Danio rerio: one gene and its partners. The protein of the gene in region 2 purifies or fractionates together with the protein of the main gene of each other region. This does not show direct contact. Links are inferred from orthologs where the notes say so. Each region holds a gene or a part of one and is shown on either strand. Other genes may lie near its edges.

The links.
Region 1: the proteins of cbx3a (region 2) and znf644b purify together in Homo sapiens (affinity purification with mass spectrometry; 3 studies listed by BioGRID and IntAct, with this or other methods). This does not show direct contact. The link is inferred for Danio rerio from reciprocal best matches to the Homo sapiens genes CBX3 and ZNF644.
Region 3: the proteins of cbx3a (region 2) and adnp2b purify together in Homo sapiens (affinity purification with mass spectrometry; 3 studies listed by BioGRID and IntAct, with this or other methods). This does not show direct contact. The link is inferred for Danio rerio from reciprocal best matches to the Homo sapiens genes CBX3 and ADNP2.
Region 4: the proteins of cbx3a (region 2) and suv39h1b purify together in Homo sapiens (affinity purification with mass spectrometry; 3 studies listed by BioGRID and IntAct, with this or other methods). This does not show direct contact. The link is inferred for Danio rerio from reciprocal best matches to the Homo sapiens genes CBX3 and SUV39H1.
Region 5: the proteins of cbx3a (region 2) and chaf1b purify together in Homo sapiens (affinity purification with mass spectrometry; 3 studies listed by BioGRID and IntAct, with this or other methods). This does not show direct contact. The link is inferred for Danio rerio from reciprocal best matches to the Homo sapiens genes CBX3 and CHAF1B.
Region 6: the proteins of cbx3a (region 2) and mgaa purify together in Homo sapiens (affinity purification with mass spectrometry; 4 studies listed by BioGRID and IntAct, with this or other methods). This does not show direct contact. The link is inferred for Danio rerio from reciprocal best matches to the Homo sapiens genes CBX3 and MGA.
Region 7: the proteins of cbx3a (region 2) and pogzb purify together in Homo sapiens (affinity purification with mass spectrometry; 7 studies listed by BioGRID and IntAct, with this or other methods). This does not show direct contact. The link is inferred for Danio rerio from reciprocal best matches to the Homo sapiens genes CBX3 and POGZ.

The regions. Positions count from the first base shown.
Region 1 is NC_133181.1:27,125,221-27,129,413, reverse strand, and holds the start of znf644b (zinc finger protein 644), read right to left. Parts: upstream 2,801-4,193; 5' UTR 2,776-2,800; coding exon 2,697-2,775; exon of another isoform or gene 2,572-2,696; intron 1,001-2,571; exon of another isoform or gene 947-1,000; coding exon of another isoform or gene 907-946; intron 1-906.
Region 2 is NC_133194.1:22,210,534-22,214,691, reverse strand, and holds the start of cbx3a (chromobox protein homolog 3a), read left to right. Parts: upstream 1-1,358; 5' UTR 1,359-1,557; coding exon 1,558-1,560; intron 1,561-2,283; coding exon 2,284-2,423; intron 2,424-2,806; coding exon 2,807-2,975; intron 2,976-3,085; coding exon 3,086-3,180; intron 3,181-4,070; coding exon 4,071-4,158.
Region 3 is NC_133194.1:23,184,666-23,188,649, forward strand, and holds the start of adnp2b (activity-dependent neuroprotector homeobox protein 2b), read left to right. Parts: upstream 1-1,184; 5' UTR 1,185-3,466; intron 3,467-3,871; 5' UTR 3,872-3,881; coding exon 3,882-3,984. UniProt on the Homo sapiens protein: May be involved in transcriptional regulation. May play a role in neuronal function; perhaps involved in protection of brain tissues from oxidative stress. May be involved in erythroid differentiation.
Region 4 is NC_133183.1:27,656,540-27,660,750, forward strand, and holds the start of suv39h1b (histone-lysine N-methyltransferase SUV39H1b), read right to left. Parts: upstream 2,801-4,211; 5' UTR 2,391-2,800; coding exon 2,372-2,390; intron 863-2,371; coding exon 681-862; exon of another isoform or gene 1-680. Other genes in the region: proton-transporting V-type ATPase complex assembly regulator TMEM9 isoform 1 precursor, read left to right, coding at 3,194-3,307, 3,956-4,047. UniProt on the Homo sapiens protein: Histone methyltransferase that specifically trimethylates 'Lys-9' of histone H3 using monomethylated H3 'Lys-9' as substrate. Also weakly methylates histone H1 (in vitro).
Region 5 is NC_133184.1:32,230,240-32,234,447, reverse strand, and holds the start of chaf1b (chromatin assembly factor 1 subunit B), read left to right. Parts: upstream 1-1,408; 5' UTR 1,409-1,566; intron 1,567-2,073; 5' UTR 2,074-2,081; coding exon 2,082-2,207; intron 2,208-3,351; coding exon 3,352-3,484; intron 3,485-3,566; coding exon 3,567-3,687; intron 3,688-4,208. UniProt on the Homo sapiens protein: Acts as a component of the histone chaperone complex chromatin assembly factor 1 (CAF-1), which assembles histone octamers onto DNA during replication and repair.
Region 6 is NC_133192.1:11,762,556-11,766,055, forward strand, and holds part of mgaa (MAX dimerization protein MGA a), read left to right. Parts: intron 1-1,405; 5' UTR 1,406-1,467; coding exon 1,468-2,558; intron 2,559-2,941; coding exon 2,942-3,500. UniProt on the Homo sapiens protein: Functions as a dual-specificity transcription factor, regulating the expression of both MAX-network and T-box family target genes. Functions as a repressor or an activator.
Region 7 is NC_133191.1:42,534,308-42,537,807, forward strand, and holds part of pogzb (uncharacterized protein LOC561483), read left to right. Parts: intron 1-271; coding exon 272-406; intron 407-510; coding exon 511-707; intron 708-800; coding exon 801-941; intron 942-1,346; coding exon 1,347-1,397; intron 1,398-1,479; coding exon 1,480-1,592; intron 1,593-2,539; coding exon 2,540-3,500. UniProt on the Homo sapiens protein: Plays a role in mitotic cell cycle progression and is involved in kinetochore assembly and mitotic sister chromatid cohesion.

The DNA of each region.
Region 1 (4,193 bases), on a different chromosome or scaffold from region 2:
TAATAGTTTAATGTGATATATTGTCTGGGTTGGTGTTCTATATTACGTTACAAAAACCTTGTAATAAACTGTTGGTACATTTTCATAATTTTACAGACTTATTTCTCTATATATTATTTATTATACATTATATTATTTCAAACTACTTAAGTATCAATAAGTCACTTTGTCAATCTGTTGACAAACAGTTAGACAAATTATTGAATTTTCAACATCATATGTCGACAGAGCAGAAATTATAATGCAATTCACAACCGTACATAAATGGAAAACACTTGTGAATCACAAAATAAGGGAACTGTTAATTAACAGATTTTTTACAGTGTATTACACAGCTCACTAGTATTCTGAGAGCATGAAACATGAAATTTAATTAAATATGTTAATTTAAAAGAGCCAGTAAAATCCTTCACCTCTCGCACAGTAACTAAAACCTCTGACCCTATTTACTGGGCCCTATTAGACTTATCATGCCTATAAAAAGTAAGGGTGCACGTTACTGTGAAAATACAGTATGAAATATTCATTATTGTTCTTAAATGTTGCGATAATTATATTTTTGGGTTAATTATATTTTATCAGCAACTTAAAACAAATATTTTCATTTATGTAATGATCATAATTAAATATACAGATAATAGATATTTTTCTGGGCTAATAAAAAAAGATTTAGAATTTAAAGGGCAACTATTTAAGCCCTTTTACAAATTCCAGACTCACCCCCTACAACATCACACACATTCTAAAAACAGACCATATGCCTGCAGACTGCCATTTAGAATATTATCATACTTTTGTGCACACATAAAACAAAAATAAGAAATTTATTGAACAGCTTTATCTTCTCAGTGTCAGTATAGGGTGCATATTCATGTGTTGTGCTTGACTATGCTGCTAACATATTACCTTGGATGCATGTGTGCTTCAAACAAAGGAGCATGGGCATCCGAAGAGGTACTGTATGTCACTCCACTGTACTCATGAAAGCATGTGCCCTATACTGACAATGAGAAAAAGAAGAAAGTTGAATGAATAAAGTAGTTTATTTTGGTTTTATGTGTGCAAAAACATTCTTGTAGATTGATAATACTCTGATAAACCACTGAAGGCATATGGTCTGTACAGAGGATATTTTTTGTTACTTTTCTAGACTTAAAGAAAATTCCAAATATCTTAATATTAATAATATAAAATATATAAAAAAATCTTATGAGGGTGAGTATTTAATAACATAATTTTCATCTGTGGGTGAACTAACCACTTAAGTGCATTATGAAAAGCCTTTTTGTGAAGCTATGCTTTAGATAAATAAGAATGGAAAGCAAAGTTTTAAAGAACTAGTGACCTGATCCAAACATTAAAAAATGGTACTTAGCGCCTATGAAAACACAAAACATTGAATAAAATTAAGTATTAACACAATCAGAAGTTTAGTTATACTTCTACAATAACCACAGAAACACCAAGATAATAATCTAAACAGCAAGCCTTTCGTTTGACATCTGCTATTGCCTATTTTTGTCAAAAGTAAAATGAATTACTAGGTATCTAAAGAGGAAAAAAATCAGTAAATCAGAAACGTTAATATCTCTTGACAACTGTGATATTCTTCTGAACATCAGCAATACTGCTTTTAACGTGAAGCATCATGCTTAAGGCCAAATTACAAGTGTGCTAAAGTCCAATAAAACAGACATTATCCAATGTATTTACATTTTTAAAATAAACACTCAAAAGTGACTTTTGAGTGTTGGTTGACAGCCTGTGAGATACAGCTGACAAGTCAAATTCTTTCAAGTCAACATTTTGACTAGTGAGCAAAAGAAAACACTGATTCTTGACATGGCTGGCAAAGATCTAGGACAGAAAAAAAGGTTGAAGCAGGATCTTAGTTTGCCACAAAAAGTTGTCATGCAGCAGAACAGAGTTTGTGCATCTGCTAAAACTAATGGATGTAAAGTAAGATTTATCAAAATCATGTGTAAGTGGACAGCCTGTGAGAGATATGCTATTATGTCACTCAGTGATTTCATTCACGCCATAAAATGTGCGTTTTACAGCCATTAAAAGTTCTGTGGCTAACACAAATCATTTAAAAGGGCCTATTTTTAAACACCATTCAAAACGATCGACTGAGATTTCCAACAGAAAGCAATAGGCTGTCGGGATGTTTGTTTGCCACGATGCGCAAACGCGTTGCGCACAGATTCCATCCAATCAAGGTCGCGCCAAGCGCCTTCAAGACGAGCGTCTAAACGCGTCTGCGCTCTTCAAGTGTCAAACCCGCGACTAGAGGCCGCGACACAAAACTCCCAGCTGACATGGAAAACGGCTCGTCTCATCCGGTGACTGACGTCGCTTTGCATCGATTCTGACACCCATCTTGTAAAAGTGTGTATAAAGTGTGTTGCAGGGTGAAAACGAAAAACCTCGCAAGTGCGCTCCTCAGATGCAGAAGAGCGTCCAACTTTCCCCCAAATACAATACTGTTTAGAGTTATAGCGTATATGACAACGGAAGGGTGAAATGTTAGTTTGCAGGATTCGTGACTTGCACGGTGTGTTGACATACCTGATGCCCGTGTACATTAGCTCTCGTGCCCGTGCAAGGACTCACTGTACCCATCGCGCTCTCATCTCTCAACACGGTTAAACACACATCCGGCAAGGGAAGACGTTCGTAAGCTTTAAACCTACCTTCCCAGAGAATGACACTATAACACGGGGCAAGTTTGTCATGGTACTTGATTACGGTCCTTTTTTTTTCGTCCTCCATCCGTTACAATGTCGCCATTTTGCCTAAAATTCTGCAGGTTGAACTAAAACTCCGAGAGGGATGTTTGGTTTCTGCTTTCACAAATGACACCACACACTAAGACCCGACAAAATGTTTACTTCCTTTCAAAGTGAAAGTGGAAATTTAAGGTAGTGTAGTTTTTCACCGAGGAATTGTGCATTTGGTCTTTATTGAGAGTTGTGGTTGTGGTAGGTACTGTAGCCCCCCTCTCGCGATATGGAATATTCCACAGACACAGAGTGAATTCTTCTTAGGTGAAGTTGCTGCTTGTGTTGAAAAAAGACAGGAAAGATGGTGGAAAGGTGGACTTGCACACCTAGGGATGGTTTGGTCAGTAATATTTATTGACAGAAATTTCCTTTCATTTTGACAGACTGTCGTGAGCATTTCTTGTTGGCAATTGTTTAAACTGATTGATAAATAGGTAATGAGGTTTGGTAAACTGTAAAAACAATTGTGGCTGTTGTATAGAATGGGTTACCATTACAGGAATGTTTTTATTTAATTATTTTTATTTTTTTATATGTTTCTTTATATGTTTGTGTAGTCAGTTTGTTTGTATATTTACTTATTTAAGTTAAATAAAGTGATTTTCTCACTCTTATGTAGTCTCACACCTGTAAAGGTTTTAAAAGAAGACATTTTTTAAGACATTTTTTTTTTCTTTTTTAAGTATTTCCCAAATTATGTTTAACAGAGCAAAGAAATTTTCACAGTATGTCTGATAATATTTTTTCTTCTGGAGAAAGTCTTATTTGTTTTATTTCGGCTAGCATAAAAGCCATTTTTAATTTTTTAAACACCATTTTAAGGTCCAAATTATTAGCTCCTTTAAGTTTTTTGTTTTTCTACAGTCTACAGAACAAACCATCAGTATATAATAACTCAATAAATCAGTTATTAGAAATGAGTTAATAAAACTATTATGTTTGGAAATGTGTTAAAATGTGATTATATACATATATATATATATATATATATATATATATATATATATATATATATATATATATATATATATATATATATATATATATATATATAAATGCAGCAGCCAGAGTTCTGACCAGGTCTAGAAAATATGATCATATAACCCCAATTTTATCCTCCTTACACTGGCTGCCTGTTAAGTTTCGTATTGAATTTAAAATATTACTTCTCACCTATAAAACTCTAAATAATCTAGCTCCTGTTTATCTAACCAAACCTTCTGTCTCGCTACAATCCAACTCGCTCTTTAAGATCTCAAAATTCAGGGCTTCTGGTAGTACCTATAATATCAAAATCAAGTAAAGGAGGTCGAGCCTTCTCTTTCATGGCTCCTACACTCTGGAATAGCCTTCCTGATAACGTTCGAGGCTCAGACACACTCTCCCAGTTCAAAACTAGATTAAAGA
Region 2 (4,158 bases):
TCCCCTCTGATTTTGAGAGTAATGTACAGTTATGGCTGGGTTTAGGGGTAGGGAATAGGTATGGATTACAATTTCCAACAAAAATGATGCTCCAGGATAAACATAGATGTTGATCCAGGATCAGATCGTACTTGGCAAAACCATGATGTGCGTATCTCGTCATCCTCAACTTCCTTAACCATGCAAGTGTAATAAACGCTTGTGTTTTTTGTTGCAAAGTTATCTATGACAAAGTCTCCCAAAGACAGATTTGTGTTTCTTGGACCACTACTCTCATCCTTAGAGCTCATTTCATCAGACACATTATCAACTAAGACAGGGACATCATTTTTCCCAGAGCTGCTAACTATGATTTTGTTTTTGGTTGCTTTCTCTTTTTTTTTTTTTGATTTTTCCTTTTATTTGCTATTCTTAAGCTTTTTGTTTCTTTTTTTTGGTGTTTTTTTTTTTGTTTGTCTTTTTTTATAGGCCTTTTCAAGTGTCACACGGTTTCATTTGGATTGTGTTCTGGGGAGACATTTGAGAATGGTAGCATTTCATGAAGAGACATGTATCCAGGTTGGCTAGAAACACATGGCACATCCATGTAGACTATATGCGCACTGAATGGAATAGCATCAGTTAGTGAACTATCTGTAAGTGGATCATCTGCAGGAAGTAGATCATCCAAATCTTCTGTAGTGCCAGGCTGGAGCTCAGGATTTGCCTAGTCTGACACCATGAATAGTGCAAAATGCTTTATCAAGGAAAATTTCCCATGGAAAAATTCCAGTGGACCTAAATCCAGAAGTGATGTTGCGAAGTGTCACTGCTCGTTTGAAGGCCTCGTTCACAAGTCCTACAATCTGGTAGACTAAATTTAACTTGTGCCTAATGTCTCACTTTACCCCACTGCCACATTTTAGAAATTTTTTTTTTTTTTTTTAGCAATTCAGACTAATCTTGAGCTAGCATACTCACATCGTTTTATATGTTGGTAGTTCATGCTTTCCAAAGCACCAGGAATTCCTATTATTCATGGTAAAGGAGATATGGAAGGGGCTTTAAAACAAAATTGTTATAGAGTGATATATAAAATTCGTTGCCTAGATACAGGGGGTATCTCACATTACCCCGTTCTCCCTTTGTTGTGTCATGTTCTGGATGTAGTAGGCAATAGGCTAAACATATAGAGAATCTGTTTTAGAGATCTGTTTAATGAGTGAACACTTAAATTGAAGTTAAGTGATACGGTGTATCTCTCAAAATAACTGAATCGAGATGTTTTGCCATGGTAATCTGCGGATGTGCTTTTGAATTCACAGGCGCTCCGCCCAACGTAAGACTCATTGGATACACGTGATTGCTCTCAGATAGGCGTGGCTTTACGTCCTCGCGTTCGATTCTGGCTGGCCTTCGTCGAGCCTCAGTCGGCTTTTCTTCTTGATTTATTAGTATCAAGTAAGTAAAACTTTTAAAAGTGCGTACTTCGTTGGCGCGGGAGCAGTTTCTGTAAAGCCATTTGCAGTTCAGAAGGCGTGAAGATTTGTTATCCAAGTTTTTATCTTATCCATTGTCATGGTGAGTTTCGCGCGCATGCCTCTCGTGCTGCAGCACCGTCCATTGTAGTTTGTTGTTTGAATGCTGCAGTCTTGTTTATTTTAGCTTATTTTTGTAAATCTGCTTTTAAGCCCTTTAAGTTGTTTCACTTTACAGAAATGTAGGATGCATATTGCACAATGTTTTGTAACGTCGCGATGTTTTGTCTGTTTCTGTGAGCATTTCCTGCTAGCAAGTTGGCTAACGCGGGCTACTGTAAACCAACACGTGTTTCAGCAAATATTAAGCGAACAATATTTTTTTGTGGAAAGTTATACGTTCACGCGAGCTGTGTGTTCGCCGGGAAATCTTAAACCGCTATAAATTCGAGTGGGAAGTTTGAAACGCTTTCAGGGCCCTTGGCCTGTTCATGCATGCGCAGTTACCATTAGCTCGCTAACATTCAAGCACACTTAAAAGGCACCACATACTAACGCGTTTTTAACCCTAGGCTAGCCGTAAAGGCATCACTGGATTTGAGAACCCCCCTAGCATATAGTATCATTTAATTTCTTAGTAAATGGGCAAACATTAACGTTAGCCTTTTTACTATTATATTACAAGTCATAAACAGTTAAACCTTTTCGTTTGTTATTTTGATACAAAAAGAGCAGAGTCTTAAATTTTTAACATTTTAAATTTAAAGTACTTGAAATGAATGATAAGGTCTGGTTTATGATGTCATTTGTGTGTGTGTGCATTTAGGTCAACATGGGTAAGAAGCAGGCAGGCAAGTCAAAGAAGGAAGTTCAGGAGATTGAGGAGTTTGTGGTGGAGAAGGTAATGGACCAGCGAGTGGTCAATGGAAAAGTTGAGTTTTTCCTCAAGTGGAAAGGCTTTACAGAGTGAGTACTTCGTCTCTTTTGCAGCTATGAAAAATAAACGGAATTGTTTTTGCATATATTTTGATTTGTGAGTGTAGCTGTATGCTATTAGATTGTAGGGGAAAATGACTCTCCATCAGGTGGTTCCAGTTTTTAATGATTTTTTTTTGAACACTAAAGATAATATAAAGCAACCTGAAAACCGGTAACCATTGATTTCTACAGCAGGAAAAGCAAATACTGTGAAAGTTAATGTAAACAAGTTTCCAGCTCTCCTCAAAAAACATGATTTGTGTTCAATGGAAAAAAAATCTAACAAGATTGGAGCAAGTGAAGGATCAGTAAATTACAATTTTCAGTTTTTAGTAAACTATCTCTTTAACAAGGTATCTATGTTTCCTCAGTGCTGACAACACTTGGGAGCCTGAAGAAAATTTAGACTGTCCAGAGCTGATCGCCGCATTCCTTGAGTCTCAGAAAGGAGTGGTGGAAAAACCAGAAGCTGTAAAAAGAAAATCATCCACTGATGAACCAGAGACAGAAGAGAGCAAGGCAAAACGAAAGAAGGAAATGGTAAGATGTTGTGTTGGTCATTAAAATATCTAGCAGATGTGATGTTTTTTTTAACATTGGTTAAATTTGCTAAATCTAAACTAATATTGTTTTTTGTTTTTTTACTGTAGTCTGACAAGCCTAGGGGTTTTGCAAGAAACCTTGAACCAGAGAGAATCATTGGGGCGACTGACAGCAGCGGGGAGCTCATGTTCCTCATGAAGTGGTAAGAAACTATTGTGGTTTTGTAATTGATTTAGAACATGTTTAGCTGAGAAAAAATAGTGGGGGAAGTCTTGATCTTGTTTTGAATCTGTTCAACTTCTACAAGTCATACTATATGAAGAATATTTGAAACCTATTTTAACTTGGTAAATAAAATGTTTGTTTGTTTTGTATGAAAAACAATCCACAAAAGAAAGCTATAACGTTTTGGAATAACATTTGAGTTCATTTTAAAGATTGTTTTAAAGGCCTGTAGAGGGCAGCAGTCCCACGCATAAAACCTTTTTATTAAAAAATAAAGAGGCTTACTGGAGGGCTCATTGTGTCGGCTTATTTTTATTCAGGGTTTCTGCAGGGTCTTAATGTCTAAAATCCCAAAATAAAAAATGTAGGCCTTAAAAGTCTTACATTTACTCTGTGTTGTAAGTCTTGAATGTTTTTTTTAAACAAGTCTTAATTTTCCTATGTTCGTGTATTGCTAGCCAATCTGGTCAAAACTCATACAATCACCAACAATCCATCTCAAATTTCTATTCAAAAAGGTAGTTTAACTTAAATTTTTAATTTGTGTAGAAGTGCTCCACGTGTTTACTGCTCAGGACACAATTATTTATATATAATCAAAGGTGTATGGTATAATTTTTTTTTTTTTTATGAAAAAAAAATAAATGTGTGTGTGTGTGTTTGAATCCATATCCATATTTTAAATTAAACTGACAAAATACATTTGTTTTAAAATCTAGGTTTTCAACATCCCTTCAATAAAGCATCCACAAGATAATTTACCTCATTTGCAATGCAGAGGTCATTGTTTTGAAGTGCAACACTGTACTTCCTAGTCTAATTGTTCTGTTTGGTCTCTAGATAAACTTCTTTGTCTTGTGTTTACAGGAAGGACTCTGATGAAGCGGACCTGGTTCCCGCACGAGAGGCTAACACCCGTTGCCCGCAGATAGTTATTGCTTTTTATGAAGAAAGG
Region 3 (3,984 bases), about 970 kb from region 2:
ATTTGTTATGATTATTTCAATGGTTAAGCAATTATCGTCACTAAAGTTTGTTTTGTAACATCAAAACAAGACACTTCAAGTGCTAACATTTCTGCATCAGACATTATTAAATGTTACTTAATAAAACATGCACTGTGAGATTACTGTAACTTTTATTCATGAGGTGACACTTATTGTATTTTAATGACATTGTCAATTATTATGAAAATTTGGGTCCACAAATTAATATTTATTCAAGTACTTGTGATTTTATAAATTTATCTTTTTTGAAATTAATTCTTAAGCATTACATAGTGAGTGAGTTAAATGTCATAAATAAATCGCAAAATTGCGAATTTCGAAAATTTAATTTTCTAAAAAAATATATTTTTTTCAGTTTTCATCACGTTTGACATGCCAGCCTCTACATCACTCCGCTCAAATTGTAAAAAAAAAATCAATCTATAAACAAACCTAATAAATAGATGCGTTAATTGCGTCAATACTAAAATTCGTTAATAATTGTGCGATGCATGTTACGATGATCATAATTATTATTTAAAATGTTATCGAATCTAGTAAAATCCCACTTAAAACTTGCAAACGTGACTTAAATTTTTTTTAAATTACATTTTCGAACAAAAAAAGCGACTATCGTGTTGATCAAACCGTTCATTAAGACTAAAAAAAACTTCCAATGTTATGTCTGATGGAACTGTTGGTCATGACATAAAATCAAAAATGGATCATCAGAAATTTCATGCACCGTAAATGCCAAGCAATTTTTTTATATGCCTTAGCTAGTATTATTACTTGCTGGTCACCCATTGGATGAAGACTAGTGGTGTGAGATGACTTCAGCAACAAGACCCCTCCCATCTTGTGCAGTTGCTCAGCAACCAGCTCATTGTTCAAGGTGCCATCTAGTGGCTCTACATGTGAATTACAAGAAACCGCGCCCTCTAGTGGCCAGACCTCTTGAATGAAAATGCCTTATCATGATGAATACATGAAACATAGAAAGTAACCACAACCTGACTAAGTCTCAACTTAAAAGTTGATTATGCTTCCCCACGTGGTTACAACTGAGAACCAGCAGAAGTCATACAAAAGAAAGTTTTGGCATGTCAAGCCTGCTTAAATCCGATTGGTCAGGCTCGCAGTATGATAATTACCCTCTTGACGTCACTTCCCAGTTGTTCAATGCGCCATTTTCTCGACTCTAAACGGCAAGCACAATAAATGGGTCCTACTTCCAAATTTTAATAAATACAATTAATAGCTGATTTCCATAACTGAGAGCACAGACTTCTTGTTGGAACATCCTTACATCGTCTCATCATCCTAACTCGTCGGTTCTGGCAGACACGCGGATTGGTGAAAGTAGGTAAATCTCCCTGGGTCGGTGTGTGGCGCCGAAAAAAGCTAATGTCCTCACAATTAGATAGCGGCGAGAACATTAGCTTTTTCGTTCAGTTGTCGCGCGGTCGGTGTGATCAGGAAGTAGAACGAAGTGCATTAGCCGAGTGCTCTGAAGAGGTTACTTCATGACATCACTGCGCTATTTGGAATCTTGCTTTCTAGAAGGGAGTCTTTTTTCCTGCAATGTGAAATCGCTCTTGTCGGTTTTTTTCTATCGATGCGGCGCTCTTGGAATATTATTTTCGCCCGGCTATAGAGTTACACTGGACGCTATTGTTTGGAAATTTCCGTGTGCTTTTGGCGGCGGGGTTTTATACGTTTGGGCAGCGGTCGCAGTTAATGCTTGCAATAAATAAATAATTACAGCTCGAATTGGATATGCTTTTGGGCACATTTAGATCATGGAAGTGCAGTCATTTGCAGTTAGGATTAGTTTATTTTAATCGATGCAGAATCGAAATTTGTCATTTTTATCCTGCATTTGTGCCCAATATCTGACATGTAGCACAAAATGATTTTTCCACATGTTCGGTAATACAAAGCTGTTCTCGGTATGCAATAATTAGCTAACGTTAGCCTTGCTATTGAATTCACCAGATTGTGTTGAAAGCGCTACACATTCAACAGGCAGAGATGATGAATATATGTGGTCAAAAATATATATATATAAATAAATAAAACAAACACTTAATGTTTCTTTACCTTTCATCACTAGCATGCACATTTTTATAATGCTAGGATCTCATGTTTGTTTTTGAGCAATGGAGATGGGATGTTAAATCAGCCTCATAAGTCAAAAGTGAAAACAAGCATCGTATTTATAATTGTATAAGAGTTGAACTTCGAGGGAAAATGTCCCTAAGATCTGTTTAATTTTATTTTTGTGACAGACTTATATACTTGAAATTAAAACATGCTTATCTGTTCCTGAATTATGCAAGCTGAATGCATACTTAGGGATAAGGCTAATAATAGATATGCTTTTATCTATATATTTCAATGTATCATATTATATGCACATTATGCTATTATACTGTTACACTTACCACAGCTAATTATGATACTATAATGGGGTTACATATATTGTACATATATACATTTATTTGCTTGGAATACATTTTAAAAACTTTGAAAACGTCTGCGCATGTGCTTGACCCTGCATTCATATAGATGCACAGATTGCAATCTGTGCATGTGTTTAAATTAGTTTACTTATGTATAATAATGAGAAAGATTACATTAATTGAAATAAGTTCACCAAAAAAAAAATCAAATAACTTTTTATTGTACGTGTACTATGAGGAGTGAAAAGCTTAAGTGCTGGCTCCAGACAGTGCAAAATACAACATATTCCCAAAAAACAAAAACAATATACAATTAGCAGTGTTGACAGTAATGCATTTAAGACAATGAATAGGTGTACAGATAGTCTGACTGTTGATGGAAAATTGTTGTAGGCAATATTGTTTTAAGTAACGATTGGTTAAAGTGTAGTGCATGCTATGTCTTGAAAATACTACCTATTTACTCATCTTTGAGAAGTTCCTGACCTTTGAGTTTCACTATTATGCTGAACGCAAAATAATTTATTTTGAAGAAAGCTGAAAATCTGTAAGCTTTGACTTCCAAAGTAAAAAAAAAGCACATGTCATAGAAGTCAATGATTTTCAGCATTCTTCAGTATGTATTCCTTTGTGTTATGTATTCCTCCTGCTAAAGCAGGTTTTTAACAAGTGAAGATGACAGTGAATTTGTCACGTGAAATGATTTTCCAGGTTGGAATAAACTGTCCTATTTTTTTTCTTTCTTTCTTGAGTATCCTAATTATTAGCAAAAGCAATTCAGGCTTTGTTCACACATGCCCATTCACCTGATTTATTTATTTAAATCTGGACTGAATGTACACACTGTTATGCACTGATTGTATTTTGATCCTCACTGTACACTGCAATCGTTCAGGATCTTGTATATATATCCATGCTGGTTTCTATAGAAATTGTATATAGGTTGGTGTCAGCTTTGTGCTCTACAGACACACACAGTGACAAGCAGTAAACCACTGCAGGTTAGTTGAGCTGATAGTGGCATATCCCTACCAACATTCAAAACTACTTCATTTTTCTTTACAATAATCTTGGTCGAACAGTACAAATGGTTTCCATTTATAGTGTCTTGTTTTTATATAAATAGTTTCCAGGCTAAAATGTCTTTCCAAAATGTATTTATTTAGTTAGTTTATGAATGGTTGTGTGTTTAGACCTAGCTAGCTAGCAATTCCAAATAGTTAAAAACAACCTGAGCAAACAGAGTAGAAAATTGGTTTACATTTTTTTTGTGTAATAATATTATAATACTACGGAGTATTTATTGTAGTACTGTATAATTAGGCTAGATGATTTTAATAATCGTCTATAGATAATTATAAGATTCACAGAATAATGAAATATAATGACATATAAATCTCTTTCAGGTGTTGCACCATGTACCAGTTTCCAGTAAAAGGTTTGGAGAAGATCCGCAGAACAAGGCGAAAAGTAAAAAATATTCTTGGAGAATTTGGACTTGAAGCATGTCTTAATCTGG
Region 4 (4,211 bases), on a different chromosome or scaffold from region 2:
TAATACGAAAGTTTGCTGTTGTTAAATACAACAATTACTATTATTACAGAATCATCTAGTTTAACAGTATTATCAGTGTTAAGAATAATTACAGTGACATTTGTTTTAGGAATACTTTATTAAATGTTATTTATATTGCAAAATATTAGTTTTAAGCTCTTATTTATTATATATGTTTGCATATAATAAAAGTATATTTTAAAAAAAATTACATTTGTTATTACTAGTATATGAATAGCAGTTCCGAATAGGGCTGGGCCAATAAATGATATTAAATCGAATCGCTCCAATCACAGCAGAAATGTGCAACAACAGAAATCTAGAACTTTGTTGATATTAGACATGCAGCAAATTTTTGCCCACCGACAATTCATCAGCTGAATTTATGTTATGCCATTTAAAGTACCCTCTAATTTTTGTGGCTTCAGTCATTGTTGGGCTACTCTTTTAAATCTGGATGCATTAACAACTTACATAGAAATGTATATCGTTACGGTTCAATATAGAAAACAATTATCAAGACTGCATTTTTGCCATATAGCCCAGCCCTTGTTCCGAATGCCAGTTCCTCCTATTGTAAATCTGAAATCCTTTCTCAATTGTTATGTAGGATAAAAAAAATTGAAACTTGGATTTCAAATAAAACCTAATGCTTTACAAATGTGTTGTTTTCTGCTCACCTGTACTGTTTGCCTCTTCCCATCTGTGATAACTTTTCTTTTGTAGTCACACAAATATTCCACTTCATAATCACACAGGTTGTTCCTGCTGATGCCGAGCTCTTCGCACACCACTCCCTCATCTCGACAGACCACCTCCAGCTGCTCTGTCGTAGCAATGCATGCTACCCTGCAAACTTGAGCTATAAAACATGATTACATGTCAATTTTAGAAAAAAAAAGAGGTAAAAACGTGGGTAAAATCTAGATTACAGATGCGGACACGCACATCAATATAGCTTCATTTTTGTGACACTGTACAAGAATATTTATACAGTACTGTGATGATTGGGTTTAGGGTTGGAGTAGACGTTATAAGATACAATTTATTGGGTAATTTAATAAATTACATGTTTAATACTCAGTACAACTACTGTTTTTACATAAAAGTGATGGTTGGGTTCAGGGTTTGGGTAGGAGTAGATGGTAATAAAATGCAATTAATGGGAAATTATATGAATAATAAATACAATTTTTTTAACTTTTGGCTGCAACCATATCCGATCTAGCAACAACCGTAAAATTGGTGATGACAGATGTGTGCACGCTAGTAAACACGGCTAAGCTGTTGCTAACATACATGTAAACTAAAACTTTGCAGAAAGAAACATGTCAAAATAAATAGCATGTGAAAATAATATTATTGGTTAACATGCATACACACACACACATGACAAAATATAATTTTCTTTAAAAAAAAATTTTATGAAACAACCGTAATCACTACTTTGTACATATTTTGTTATGTTACTTAAACTATTAAGTTGTTTTGAAATAATATTACAAAAATGTATTGTAATGTACTGTGTATTTGTAAATGTATTTAATTAATTAAAAGTGAAATAGTCTTCAAATAATATTATGTAGCTAATAACATGGACTACAAACATTTTCAAGATATTTGATCATAAAACTCTAAAAACCAACAACAAACCAAAGCCAATTAAACCAACTTACAATATTGTCATGTTATCAAAGTAATAGCAACATTAAAACTTCTTATCAAAATATATTGTGAGAATAGACTCCCTAACAAGATAGTGATTATAGTTTCTCGTATAACTTTAATAAAATATATAACGTTAGATCTACAAAAACAATACAAAAGAGTAATGTACAGATCTGCTTCCTTCATGCTTTATGGAATAACGTTACATTAGTAAGTTAATCTTTACAGGGCTGGTCGCGAGCATCTTCGCTAACCAATGGGCCATTTAAACACTTTAACAAAGCTAAACTAAGAGTATTCACAGGCTGAATTGGTATTTTAGTGTATTCATTTGCTTTTAAATATGAATTACTTAGCAAAGGAAAATAAAAACGTTAGCTAAACACCGAAAAGTATGCTAAAACTGCGCATATGCGAGATATGTAACATTGTACAACTTAACAAAACTTCAGAAAACAATCTGGACAGGGGAACAAGCGATTGTCGAAGAGTTTGTTAAACGTGTTTCAGGAGCGCGCGCTGGCCATAACACCGACCTACCGTGAATTTGTATCAGCAACTTGCAGCAAATAATGTTTTAAAACTCGGGGCTTATTTCCGGGTTACCTCCGAGAAAACATGTCGTTTAACCAACTCGGGCTATAGATCAGACTTATATTGAATAAACTGTTGTTTGTGAACGATTAACACGGCATATTCTTACCTTTCAAATTTTCCGCCATCGTCTCACGCCGCCAAAACTATGGAACTAAAGGCTGCTCGGTGGTTGGATGCGCCCCGTCTGAGTGACGGGTTGAGCAACCAATAGTGGCAGAGTATTTAAATCGGGAAGAGTTTATGCAAAATGCCACATTCGTTAAATGTGTGAACTTTGAGGAAAAATAGATCTTAATTTGACTGATTTTACAGGCAGATATGGATAATATTTTGAAGACACTAACGTTAGTTATCTGTGAGATGCTTTCCATTTAACGGTTACCCATTTAATTACTCTAGAATGGTTAATTTTTGGTGTCCAGGCGAGACAAAAAAGTCAATACGATTTTTTGAACTAAGGCTTTAATTTCATAATCTAACATCTAGGAAACAAAAAGGCTGTTTACGTCACTCAAAGTAAAAACGGAGATGTGCTGTAAAGTCTTTTATTTTGCTTTTCGCCGGTTATGAAGGCGGCATAGATCTATCTATGCGAAGGCGGGACATGTAGAGTGTCATCGTCACGTGACAGTGTGACGTAAACATTCATGAACTTCCGGGAAAAGTCAACAAATGCGTTGATGTAAATACTGTCTGTATGTTTGTGCGTTTAGTTTTGCATTTCTGCGTGTAACATTTTATGTATTTGTACCTCCTTATGTAATTTTATTTCCTCTAAAATACGCAATATAGACAGGAGAAGGCCTAAACGGCGAAACCGGTTGTCTGCCAGCCTCTTATTAATGCGGCATAGACCATTTACTAACTGATTATAAGTACATTGTTTACAGTACAACCATCACCTTTAGCTAAACGACAAATAATTTAAATGTATTATTTTACAGGCGTCATGTCCTTCATTGCACAAAGTCTCCGGACACCAGTAATTTTCCTGGCGTTTCTTGTTCTCATAGAAGTGGTGTCGTTTGCTTCTGCAGATAAGGTACAGTTTTACTGGCTTATTTTCACCTGTATTCTTATGTTTTAAAACCTCTATATGTAAATAAACGTGAAAAAAGGCAACATTTCGAATGTTACCAGGTTTTGACATGTTATTAATGCAATTAGCATTTTTCATTCATTTTCCTTCGGCTTAAGTCCCTTATTTATCAGGGGTCCCCACAGCGGAATGAACCGCCAACTTATCCAGTAGATGTTTTACACAGCAGAAGCCCTTCCAGCTGCAACCCAGTACTGGATTAGCACTTAGCATTTTTTTATAACAAAAAAAAACTAAAACTAAATCTTTGGAGTATTAACCTATACAAACTACTCCAGAAAAGAAACCTTAATAGTTTGTCAATAGGTTTACATTTGCACGTTAATCAGCAAAATTGTGTAAAAGATGTCTGAGATATGGAGGAAGGACTTACTGAGGTTGATGATATGATTTAACAAAAGTTTTTTTGACCCCCTATATTTATACTAATGTGCTTTATATACCTATCCTAAAAATAAATAAATGAGCATAACTCTAACATGAATTGTGTATAATTTAAAAAAAGTTCAAATTCCTTGCTAAATACTGTGCCTTTCTTCATTTTAGAGAAATCATTTGTCTCTTTCTGAAAATAATATGTTGCTTTCACAGAGTTTTGAAGATGTGCGTTGCAAGTGCATCTGTCCACCTTACAGAAACATCACTGGACATATATACAAAAAGAATGTGACCCAGAAAGACTGGTAAGACTCTAGACCAGGGGTGCCCAAACTTTTTCTTATGAAGGGCCAAAAACCAAACTTGATTGAGGGTGGTGGGCCGAAGCTAAATATACCAAACTGTATTACGTTAAAGTTGTCATAGAAACTTTTTAATTTAATAATATTTTAAAATATATAGAAATTTT
Region 5 (4,208 bases), on a different chromosome or scaffold from region 2:
TAGTAGGCTACTGCATATGACATAGGCCTGTTGGTTAGCACATTTCTGAAGTGGTATACATGTCAAATTGAAAAAGTAGACTTTTTACAAAAATGAACAATATCCTACTTCAATAATAATAATCGTCATCATTAATATTATTATTAAAGTAGGATTTTTTTTCTTTCCTAATGAATAATAAATATAAAATTTTATTTATTAATAAATAGCCTCATTATTTATTTATGTACATGATTTATCAGATTAGAATATGTGTTAGCTTTTGTAAGTGATTTTATGTTTTAGAATAGAACATGTAATGTTCTTAATAATATCTGTAAAGGAAACTTAGGCCCTATATGTGTCATGTACATATATTTCGGATTATATGGAAAACGAGTGCTTGTTTTTACCAAAACTAATATTGGATTTTTTCTAAATGCGTGTTTGTGTAAAACAATATAATTTGCACAAAGAAATTATGGGTGTCTTCTCTAAAGAAGTAGTTACTCCACTCCGTTTAGAGCATCATTGTGGGTGTTTTACATTATAACTAATGTGATTCAAGCGATGAATCAGCAACAGAAAAACTACAGGTTTTGGGAAAAACTCGTCACTACATCGTTCTTCTCCCAAACAATACATCATACTATGATAGCTCAGCCACGAATTACATTGTTGTTCAGGAAACGCACCACTGGTCATTCTTCGTTGACCTCTGGCAATAACAAGGCATTTGCGCCCACAGAACTGCTGCTCACTGCTGGATATTTTCTCTTTTTCAGATAATTCTCTGTAAACACTTGAGATGGTTGGGCATGAAAATCCCAGTAGATAAGCAGTTTCTGAAATACTCAGACCAGCCCGTCTGGTACCAACATCCATGCCTCATTTAAAGTCACCTAAATCACCTTTCTTCTCCCAAATATTTTACATGGAATTTCATAGAAATGTTATCCCACCTTTACAGACAGTTAACAAAACATTTTAGACAACACAATAACATTTTTCTTTTACTTCAGAAATGTTAAGAAATCAGTATTTGGTGCAATAGCTTAATTCAATTAATTAATCAATTAATTGAATTTATTCAATTATTCAATTTCAATTACTTAAATCACAATAAAAAAAAACATTTGTTATATATACAAATTGTAATTTACTGCAAGACAAAGATTGTTTTGTCTTCAAAATTGGTATAGATTTGATTACACCTTTACATAGTACAAAATATTTTAACGTTATCTAAAATCATAACTAGCAAATTCAGATAACCTGCAAATTTTCAAAGGGTCTCTTAACTTTTTCCAATGCTGTAAATATTTTAGGTTGCCAAATACTGGTCACAAAACTATATTGTTGGCACTTTTCAGAACATCGACATGTGCTTTTCAAGTGGATGTTGAAAACGCCACAGCCCAACGGCGGATTTGTGATGAGGGATTTGGCAACCCGTGAAACAGGAAGTTGTCATTGTCAGAAAGCTGCGCGGGAAAGACGTCTGTTTGGGTGAAAGCGGGACTTGTTCACGAAGTAACTAAAACATTTTTGTTCCGACTGTCGCAGCTTCGATTGACGAAGTAACCGGTATGTAATTACAATATATTTTGCGTCTGTTATTGACCGTCGTTATGTTTGTTACTTACTTATATATCTCTTCGAGAACAGCTGTGATGTACTTAACGTTTGTTTATTGTTCCAAATTCCGCGTTAACAGTTCGTAAAACAAGTATTTAACGATACCAAAACACTGCAATGTTGGTATATTTCACTAAATACGCTGTAATAATGGTTCTCGCCAGATACATATTTGTGTTTGTAGTTTATGGACTTGTTTCAGATGTGTGCAGTGTTGGTTTTGTTTACTGTAACGTTATTTGTTTTCAGCCTCACTGATAGCTTAGTATAGAGACCGTGTGTTACTGTGCTGTGGTGAAGCTGTTCAATAGTTTTTTTATGTTAGTTTTTCCCAAGTGTATGCCCTCTGTCAAACTATCGTCTTCTGCGGTCTATTATTTCTCTCATATTCCCCCTTCCTTCATTTTCATTATGTATTATATTAATATTTCATGTCGTCATATCCTTGCCCATCAGGTGCCAGGATGAAGGTTGTAACCTGTGAGATTGCCTGGCATAATAAGGAGCCAGTGTACAGTCTGGACTTTCAACAGAGCGGTGATGGAAAAACACAGCGTCTGGCCACTGCTGGAGTGGACACCACAGTCCGGGTAAGAGAGAGAGAAAAAACCTCTGCTTAGATTTATTGGCATACATCACAAGTGCCTCCTAAATTAATACAATTGAGATATCATATGAAACCTTGAGACGAAGAACCATATAATCTATATTTTCACATTTTAAGTAATACTATTTTCTTCATTTGGACTGTGAACATTATATTATATATTTTTATTTTACTTGAAGATAGACGACAAAAGCTCCTTGACTCTGAGGAGATAACATTGTTCAGTGTTAGTATTAAAAATAAAGTATTATTGTGATTTACAATCTCAAAAGCGGAAGAACGGTATATGTCCAGTTACTAGTGTGGAAAAACAGTTTAACTCATCACTTGAAAAACACTAAAGATCTGATTCGTTTATCTTAGTTTTAATGCCGTAACAAAAGCTTCAGATTCATATTTTCAAGTTTATTATTATCAAAAAGAAGCTGAAAATAAAGCATGAAGAATGTACAAGACATAGTCCTTCTTACAGTACAGACAATAATCAATTATCACATAGCTAAATATTATAACATTACTAAATGTTGTAGTTTATTTAGACAAGCAGTGCACCTGTGTATATATTACTTCAAACTGATATAAATGAATGCATAAACTCTGCTTGCCATAGTTTACACAGAACTAGCAGGAAATATGCATTAATACAGCTTTATTATACATGGTATGTGGTTTATTTGATAGGTTAACTGTTTTTGTTCTGTTTAGCGCTCCTCAGCATGTTTAGTAGGAGAGAGGGAGAGGGATCAAATCACATATACAGTTCTTCCACTCACCTTCATCTTCCATCGATTCAAATATACTTTCCCAGCATCCCTCAAAGCTATCCTGACTCTGCGCCTACTTACGCTTTCCTTTTTTTGCTGAGGATTTGTCTTTTAATGTTTGAAGCTGACATGACAGCTTGGGTCATCTTCGTTCTTAGACATCTTCTTAAAAGACAACGTTTTTTTTACTCGTGAAGCTATTTTAACATTTAAAATGGAGACTGTGGCTGCAAACTTTCTGTATGCAAAGTTCACACATACAATTAATGTCACATGGTTATCTCATTTTTATTTTTTCTGGACTTGTACTGATGTTCATCGCACGCACTCATATAGTAAGATGAGATCTGCTCTCATTTTCAGATGTGGCGTGTGGATAAAGGGCCTGATGGGAAAGCGGTCGTTGAGTTTTTGTCTAACTTGGCACGACACACGAAAGCAGTGAATGTAGTGCGTTTCTCACCCACTGCTGAAGTGTTGGCTTCTGGGGGAGATGGTGAGCTAAAAGTCATTCCAATACTTGGCTGAAATTGTGTATGGAGGCTGTAAAAAGTTAAATGTAGTGTCTTATTCTTAAGATGCGGCCATCTTGCTTTGGAAGCTGAATGACAATAAGGAGCCTGAACAAACTCCGACCTTTCAGGAAGAGGAAGATGCTCAACTTAATAAAGAGAGCTGGAGTGTGGTCAAGACTCTAAGGTTTGATTTTAGACCTTTTTTATTACCTCTTGATTGTCTTTTACATTTAAATCAGCATGAAATGAATATTTGACTAATGTGTCCTCTTAATGCAAGCTTTGATGTTATTGGAGCCTGTAACTTTTTTTTTAAGTTCAAAATTTTTTCTGATAGTGATTATGTGAAGAACGTTGTGAAATTCATTTAGTTCCTTTAACAGGCATTAAATATCAGTATATTCTGGAATCTATAAATATTTCCTTTGGTGTGGAATATGTGCATGTCAGCAACCTGGAAAATTACAAAGCGCAAAAGCATACATACTTTGGAGCAAGAAAAATGCTGTATGGTCTTACAATTTCAAAATTAACATAACCGATACATTTAAAACTTACATGGACCTAACATGCTTCAAGCTAAATCTATTAATTGACTGTTATTTTGAACCAATTCATGGCAGAGCAAAAGGGTTCATTTTCAGGAGTTTGAAATGGATCAAAGGTAGCATTGGCATCTGAACACCTTTAAAGTACCCTTGGTCT
Region 6 (3,500 bases), on a different chromosome or scaffold from region 2:
ATTATATGCATTCACTAAATGTGTATTTTAACAATATTTAAAAAGTGTCTGAGTTGGAATTTACTCTGTCAAAACTGTTTCCCATCACATTTTTTTTTCAAATAATGTTCTAACCAAACAGATAAGTCACATATCCTGAGTTAAAAACCTTTCATGACTGTGTATTGTTTACAAATACTGTCACACACAGTATATTTTAAATAAACGTTGTATTTAACCTTTTTTATTTGTTTGTTTAGTTTGAAGCTGGTTTAAACTGGCTTAACTCAAGTCCCATTACCTTGTTTTTAGCATGATGCAACTAGTGGCTCCAATTGCAACTACAAGAATGGTAATGATTGTTCCCAAAGAGGTTTCCTTACGTGTGCATATTTTCTCTTTACCCCCCATTTACTTGTTATATTTACAAATGTATCAATTTCATGAAAAGAAAGAAGTAAGTTATTTTCATTAAAATCAGTTTTGTGGAGGCCAACATTTCTTTTTTTCCTTTTCACCTTTTGAAACCATTGTTTTGAAGTCAGTTTTTACTAGTCAGTTTTGGTGTCATTCAAAGACTTTGTTTCCACATGCAATTAGGATCCATTTTCAATAATCTGCTAACAAAAGCTTAGTTGAGATGCGCAAGTGTTTTTGTTTGGTAACCATCTCAAACTCTCATATTTGCAATCTTCACATTTAGATCACACATATTTTAAGACTTAGTTTCTGGCTGAGCACTTTATTTATTACAGAAAAATTATATTATTATAATAAAAGGTGGAAATAGCCAAAGTCCACCCATTGGTTGGTGTACAGCTTGTCTTCAAGGTAGATTTTTTTTATTTTATAAGTATGATATTCTTGGTGTTGGCTCCTCCCCATTTTTACAGTTAATGTCAACATGAATATGTTCAAATGTTCTTGTTATTTGTTTTTACTGAGCTAGATGTTACTAGTTGGTAAGTCATTTACTTAACACTGTTCATGGATTGCCAGCTTAATGCATAGTTGAATCTCAACCCTGCACTTGTCTTGGAAGGTGCAGTAGCATACCTCAATTACCCTAGACCAGCATGTAGGACTGATAGGACTTATTAGATGCCCTTACGAGTATTAACTTGAGGCTAATGCCTTGCTATGATGAATGATTATTTGTATGTAGTACACAAAGCACAATACACAACTTTTTAGTCTAACTGTTCAAACATTTCTCCATAAAGGTGTTAGAAGATTTATAAGGTAGTGCATTTCTTGAAGAAATTGGTCTTTTACAAGTTTCTGCACTGAAGCCAATCAGGGCTTCGACTGATTAGTAGTAATCTATTAAGTAACACAAACTGTTAATGTTGTGCTAAGCTTTCCAGTTGCTAGCTGTCAAAAAATCCCATGTTATATACACATTTTTTTCTTTCTTTTTTTTAAGGATGTAGACCTGATATACCCTAATGTGAGAGGGTCAGAAGCTATCCAGATGACTTAATTCCCATGGCCGATACAGAGAAACAGGGTGCAATGGTGCTTCATGAAGAGGGCGTGACTGCCCCAACACTGGCACCTCCCACAACCACTCCACCTTCCATTTTTGTTGTTTTAAAACAGTTGCAATCTAGTGATAGTGGGAATGACAAGGCTAATCTAATGGCAATTAGTGAGGCAAATAAAATGGGGAAATCCTCAATTGGCACTACTGTGGCAGGCATTCAACCAACATCCTCCACATTTGCAGACACTAACAGCACCACACCATCTGAGAACTTGCCAGCAGATGCTAGATGTAGAGGCATTACTGTGACCCTGGATAACAACAACATGTGGAACGAGTTCCATAGATGTAAGACAGAGATGATTCTGACTAAACAAGGACGTAGAATGTTCCCCTATTGCCGGTTTCGTCTCTCTGGAATGGAACCTTTCCAGAATTACGTTTTGGCAATGGATATTAAACCTGCTGATAACTGCAGATATAAATGGAGTGGCAAAGGATGGGAACCCAATGGGAAGGCTGAGCCTCATATTTCACGGTTGTTTGTACACCCAGAATCCCCTGCTAGTGGCTTACATTGGATGCAGTACCCTGTTTCATTTTACAGACTGAAACTTTGCAACACCTTGGATCAAGAGGGCCATATTATTTTGCACTCAATGCACCGATACCTTCCACAAATTCATATTATACCTGCAGACAAAGTCAGTAAAGACATTCTAATTTTGGACAGACCCAATGTTGTAACTCTCAGTTTTGCTCAGACTGAGTTTTTTGCAGTCACAGCCTATCAAAACCTTTGCATCACCCAGCTCAAGATTGACTACAACCCCTTTGCCAAAGGTTTCAGGGAGGATGCGGTCAATGCGCGATCATCTAAGGCCAAGAATGGATTGTCTACTGATGAAACAGAGAGTGAGCTCAAGCTGAGCAAGGAGATGACAACCTTGAATAACTTGAAAACACTGTTCATGAAGAGAAAAGCTTCTGTAAAGGTCAATGTGAATCAAAACGTTCCCAACCCTACAAATGGAGAAAATAAAGTTGTTAATGGTGCTGCGCCAGCTGTAGACACAAATGTTCAAAGTTTGTGGTAAGTAGTTTTAACAATTTGTCAAACGAAAGCAGAATTTTGATTTAGCTGGAGATGTAGTACACAAGAAAGATACTCACTGTGAAACCATGCCATTTATATGCATTCTTCTATGGCTTTAGAAAGAAACCATGACGCACAAAAGTTTCTACATTTCCGAATATAGTATTATTGAGCCATAAACATATTGACGGTTTATCTAATATTATCAATAGGATTCTCCTGACCCATTATGACATTAATTGCATATAGACAGAGTTATGTAGCTACGGCTTAAATGTTTGCATTTATTTTATTTTATCATGTTTTTCATTGTACATATTTACCTTTTTGCTAAATCTAACAAGTTTTTCTGTCTGATCTTATCTCTCTTTCTCTAACAGTAACAAGAAGCGTCCATCCTCATTGGCATTCTCCGACTTCATTAAAGGTGCTCATGTGAAAGTAAAAAGGTTATCACTTGAGAATATCAACAAAACTGGTGGGGCCACGGAGCCATCTACTGCTTGCACAAGTAAACAAAAGGAGGCAGCTGATATATCATCCATAACAGAAAATTCTTTGCAGGTTGATCAAAAAGATGGAAATGGTGCAGGTGATGTTCTCAGATGTGAAAGCACAGACACGTCTTTAAAAACAGGTGTATTAAAAGCAAACGAGATTAAAAAAGAAATTGATGAACACAGTGCTGACAAGAATACATTGAAATCAAGTGACCAAAATCTATCCTGTTCGGATGAAAAAAAAATGGAGACAGTTTCTTCTCTAAGTACTGAAGCCAAGCCCGAGGCACAAATGAAGAAAACCTTACCACACAAGAGACCTGAACGTGTGCCCCTGCCTCTCCTCGCTAAGTTTCTAAAACAGAGAAGACCTATTTTGCCCAAACCTGTCTCTCACAGCTCACTCTCAGATTCTGAAAAGTCCTGTGAACCTGCCCAA
Region 7 (3,500 bases), on a different chromosome or scaffold from region 2:
TTTCAGTCATGTTAATGATGCAGCGGACATGTCAAGTTTCTGCTTGTTTCAAGCCATAGGCAACAATGTCTTTCTTCGTTTTTACTTTTGTTGAAGAAATTACCACTGCTTTCACCTCCTCTAGAACATTTGGAACATTTATCTTGCTTTAGTATTCTGTGAAAACATTAAATGTGTATTTATTTATTAATTTATTTATTAATCCATCATTTCTTAACTTAACAGACAAACTTAATTTCTACAATTATGTGGTAATTCTATTTTTCCTCAGAAATCAACAGTTTACCATTGTAACAAATGCCGTCTTCAGTTCCTTTTCACAAAGGACAAAGTTGAGCATAAAATAAATCACCACAGGACTTTCCGAAAGCCCCGTGAATTGGATGGACTGCAGCCTGGAACAAAAGTAAAATCTTTGTTTGTTTGTTTATGTGAGACTGAGAGTAAATTTGCAACAAGTGCAAAAATATAGTATTAATTGATTTATTTATTTTTATTCTTCATATTCAGGTGACCATTAGGGCATATGTTGGGAAAAAAACACCAGGTCAGTCAGCTTCAAAAGCATCCACTAATATTCAGAAGAATAGTATTAGCAGTTCACAATCGACAACTCTAAGTGGCGACCAGCAATCAGAACAACAGCAATCTGGGAAGAAACAGGTCAGCAAGATGTTTCAGTTCCTGTCCAAGTTCCAGGAGCAGAGGTAAGCTCATGTTATGAGATAACAGATAAACTGATCCATTTCCACTGGAAATTACAACTCTGAAGTGTTTACTTCTGGTTCTCTTCTTTCCAGGGCTCAACTGGGCAGACATAAGTGTGTGGAGTGCACTTTTGACATTCCAGACTTTGTGAATCACTACCCCACTTATGTTCACTGTTCACTCTGCTTCTATAGCACGTGCTGTTCTCGTGCTTATGCAAATCACATGATCAAGTAAGTTGAGTCAAACATATATTTTCACATAAATTTTATATATATATATATATATATATATATATATATATATATATATATATATATATATATATATATATATATATATATATATAAAATTTATGTGAAATTATATGGCAAAGTGATGTAAAGCTTTAAGCATCAAAATTGGTACTTTGTATCGGTTGATCACCATGACAAGAAATCAGTACTTGGTGTTGCCTGTAAAAATCCTGATCGGAGCGGCTCAAATATATATATATATATATATATATATATATATATATATATATATATATATATATATATATACAGAAGAATATATATGTACAGAAGAAAACAGTTTCATTGGAAATTGCAGCTTGAAGTTTAGTCACATATTGCAATTTATTTTTTTAATTTCAGCAATCATGTTCCTGGAAGGGCTCCAAAACCTTCTAAAAAGGGGCCTCCAAGGTAATGTAATATTTGGATTTTGAGTTCTGTTTTGCTCAGTCTGAAACTGTACCTTATGGGTATTTTGGTGTTCTTTTTGTAGCGTTGTGAAGCTGACTTGTGCAGGTTGTGAATACTCCACTCCTCACGGAAATTTGATGGCCAAACATCTCATCAAGTTCCCTGATCACTCCTACTGTTTATTCATGCGCAAAGGTGGGTGTTCTCTAGCTCAGTAGAACATTACAGCATACTTGTATTTTTACTGCATTTCTCTTACTGCATGGGCCTCTTAACCTGCATGCTCGTTTTTCTTTCTCTGCTTTCGTACTTCTGTAGTTAGAGGGTATCCAACTCTGTTGTAGGTGTCTTTAATTGCATGTTTATACTAATACAGCATTGACACAAAAGTAAAAATACAGTGAACTAAATTACTGGCATCATGGCATATTCATCAAATTTAACCTTTTCACTTACAAATTATCACTTATCATTGTGTCTTAACTTCTTACATGTGCAAAGGGCTCGGTACACAAACCCTGCTCATCACTGCATATGTATTTTCACAGATTGAATGTTATTTATCCTGTTGATAGACACCTACAATAAAGAAGGATTCTTTAGTCAACACATTTTCCGTGCATTCTTAGCTAAATCATACAATAGACATACGTCAATGGCACTTGCAAAGTGGCCCGTCTTGAGTGATATCCCACAATATGTGATGCTCAGCAATCACAGGTGTGGGGTATGAGCTCAAACTGTCCATTGTCAAAATGGACAAACATGGCCCCTTTGCACTTGGTGTGAATTCACAGGATTTACTGACAAGCCTTTGCGAGAGCACTCTGGATGTGTAATTGAGTATTACATACAAAAATCTACCGCACACCGCCTGAACTGGAGAATGTCAGAAGAAGTACAAAATAAAAATCCTAAAATGGATTAATTTAGAAACATGACAAATGAATAACGTCAAGGAGTAACCATCGGGGAGTTATCTGCTGCTTCTGAGCTGCTTATTATTTTCTTTTTCAAAAGCTAACTGACCTATCAGAACTACATATACATTGAGCATGTTATAAAATGGATTATTGGTGATGGTAAAGACTCCAAGGAGAAGACTAACTCTGTGTTCCTATAATCCCTCCCCTCCCCTACAGAGTGTTTGGAGACAGATATTGAGTTCTGCCATGTTGAGGAGGAGGTGGAGGGTCCACAAGGGGATGAAGCTAGTGATGTTGGGACACAGCCTGACTGGTTGTCCCTGAAACAGTGGAATGTGCCCAAAGAGGAAGGAACAGTGCCAGAGTTCATGGAACGTTGTGGCCCACGGCATATAATGACCAGGAATCATGATGTCCTCGACTACTTCCAGGTTCTGTTTCCTGATGCCCTCTTTGAGCTGATTGTTTGTGAGACCAACGCCTATGCCACTTATTGCTGCTCTTCAGGGCAGGGGGACACATCTTGGCACCCTGTGTCTGTACAGGAAATCAAAGGCTTTTTTGGTCTCTCTATCCTCATGGGGCTTCAAAACCTGGTGGAACCGGACTCGTACTGGACCTGGGAACAACACCAAGGCCGCTATGGCTCTAGAACATGGGAGCTGGTTTACAGGACCATGTCAGTGAATCGTTTTAAGCAGATCAGCACTTACATCCGAATGAGCAGCATGCTTGTGGAGAATGACAGCCAGAGTGCTGACAAGTTGTCATTTTTTCAGCCGATGCTGAGCATCCTGGAGAAAAGCATGCAAGAGGCCTACAGTCCAAACAAGTGCTTGACAATTGATCAAGCTTTCCTACCGAGCCATGATAAGGGAACGGCTCAGGAGAAGAGTAAAAATTCTCAGCCAAGGATATGGCTACTGTGTGACTCAAAGTCAGGCTTTTGCCATAAATTGCTGGTCTCAACACGACAGGAGAAGCACAAAGACTTGGGAAAATCAGTTGTGCCACATCTCACAGAGGGTCTTGAGGGTAAACATCACAACATCTTCTTGTCCAGCTCACTTGCCTCTGTGCAACTCATGAAGGATCTCTTTGATAGTGGTATATACTGCTCCAGCTCTGTCCTGCCACAAAGTGCAGTTTTGCCCAAGGAGTTTTGGGATGAACCTCC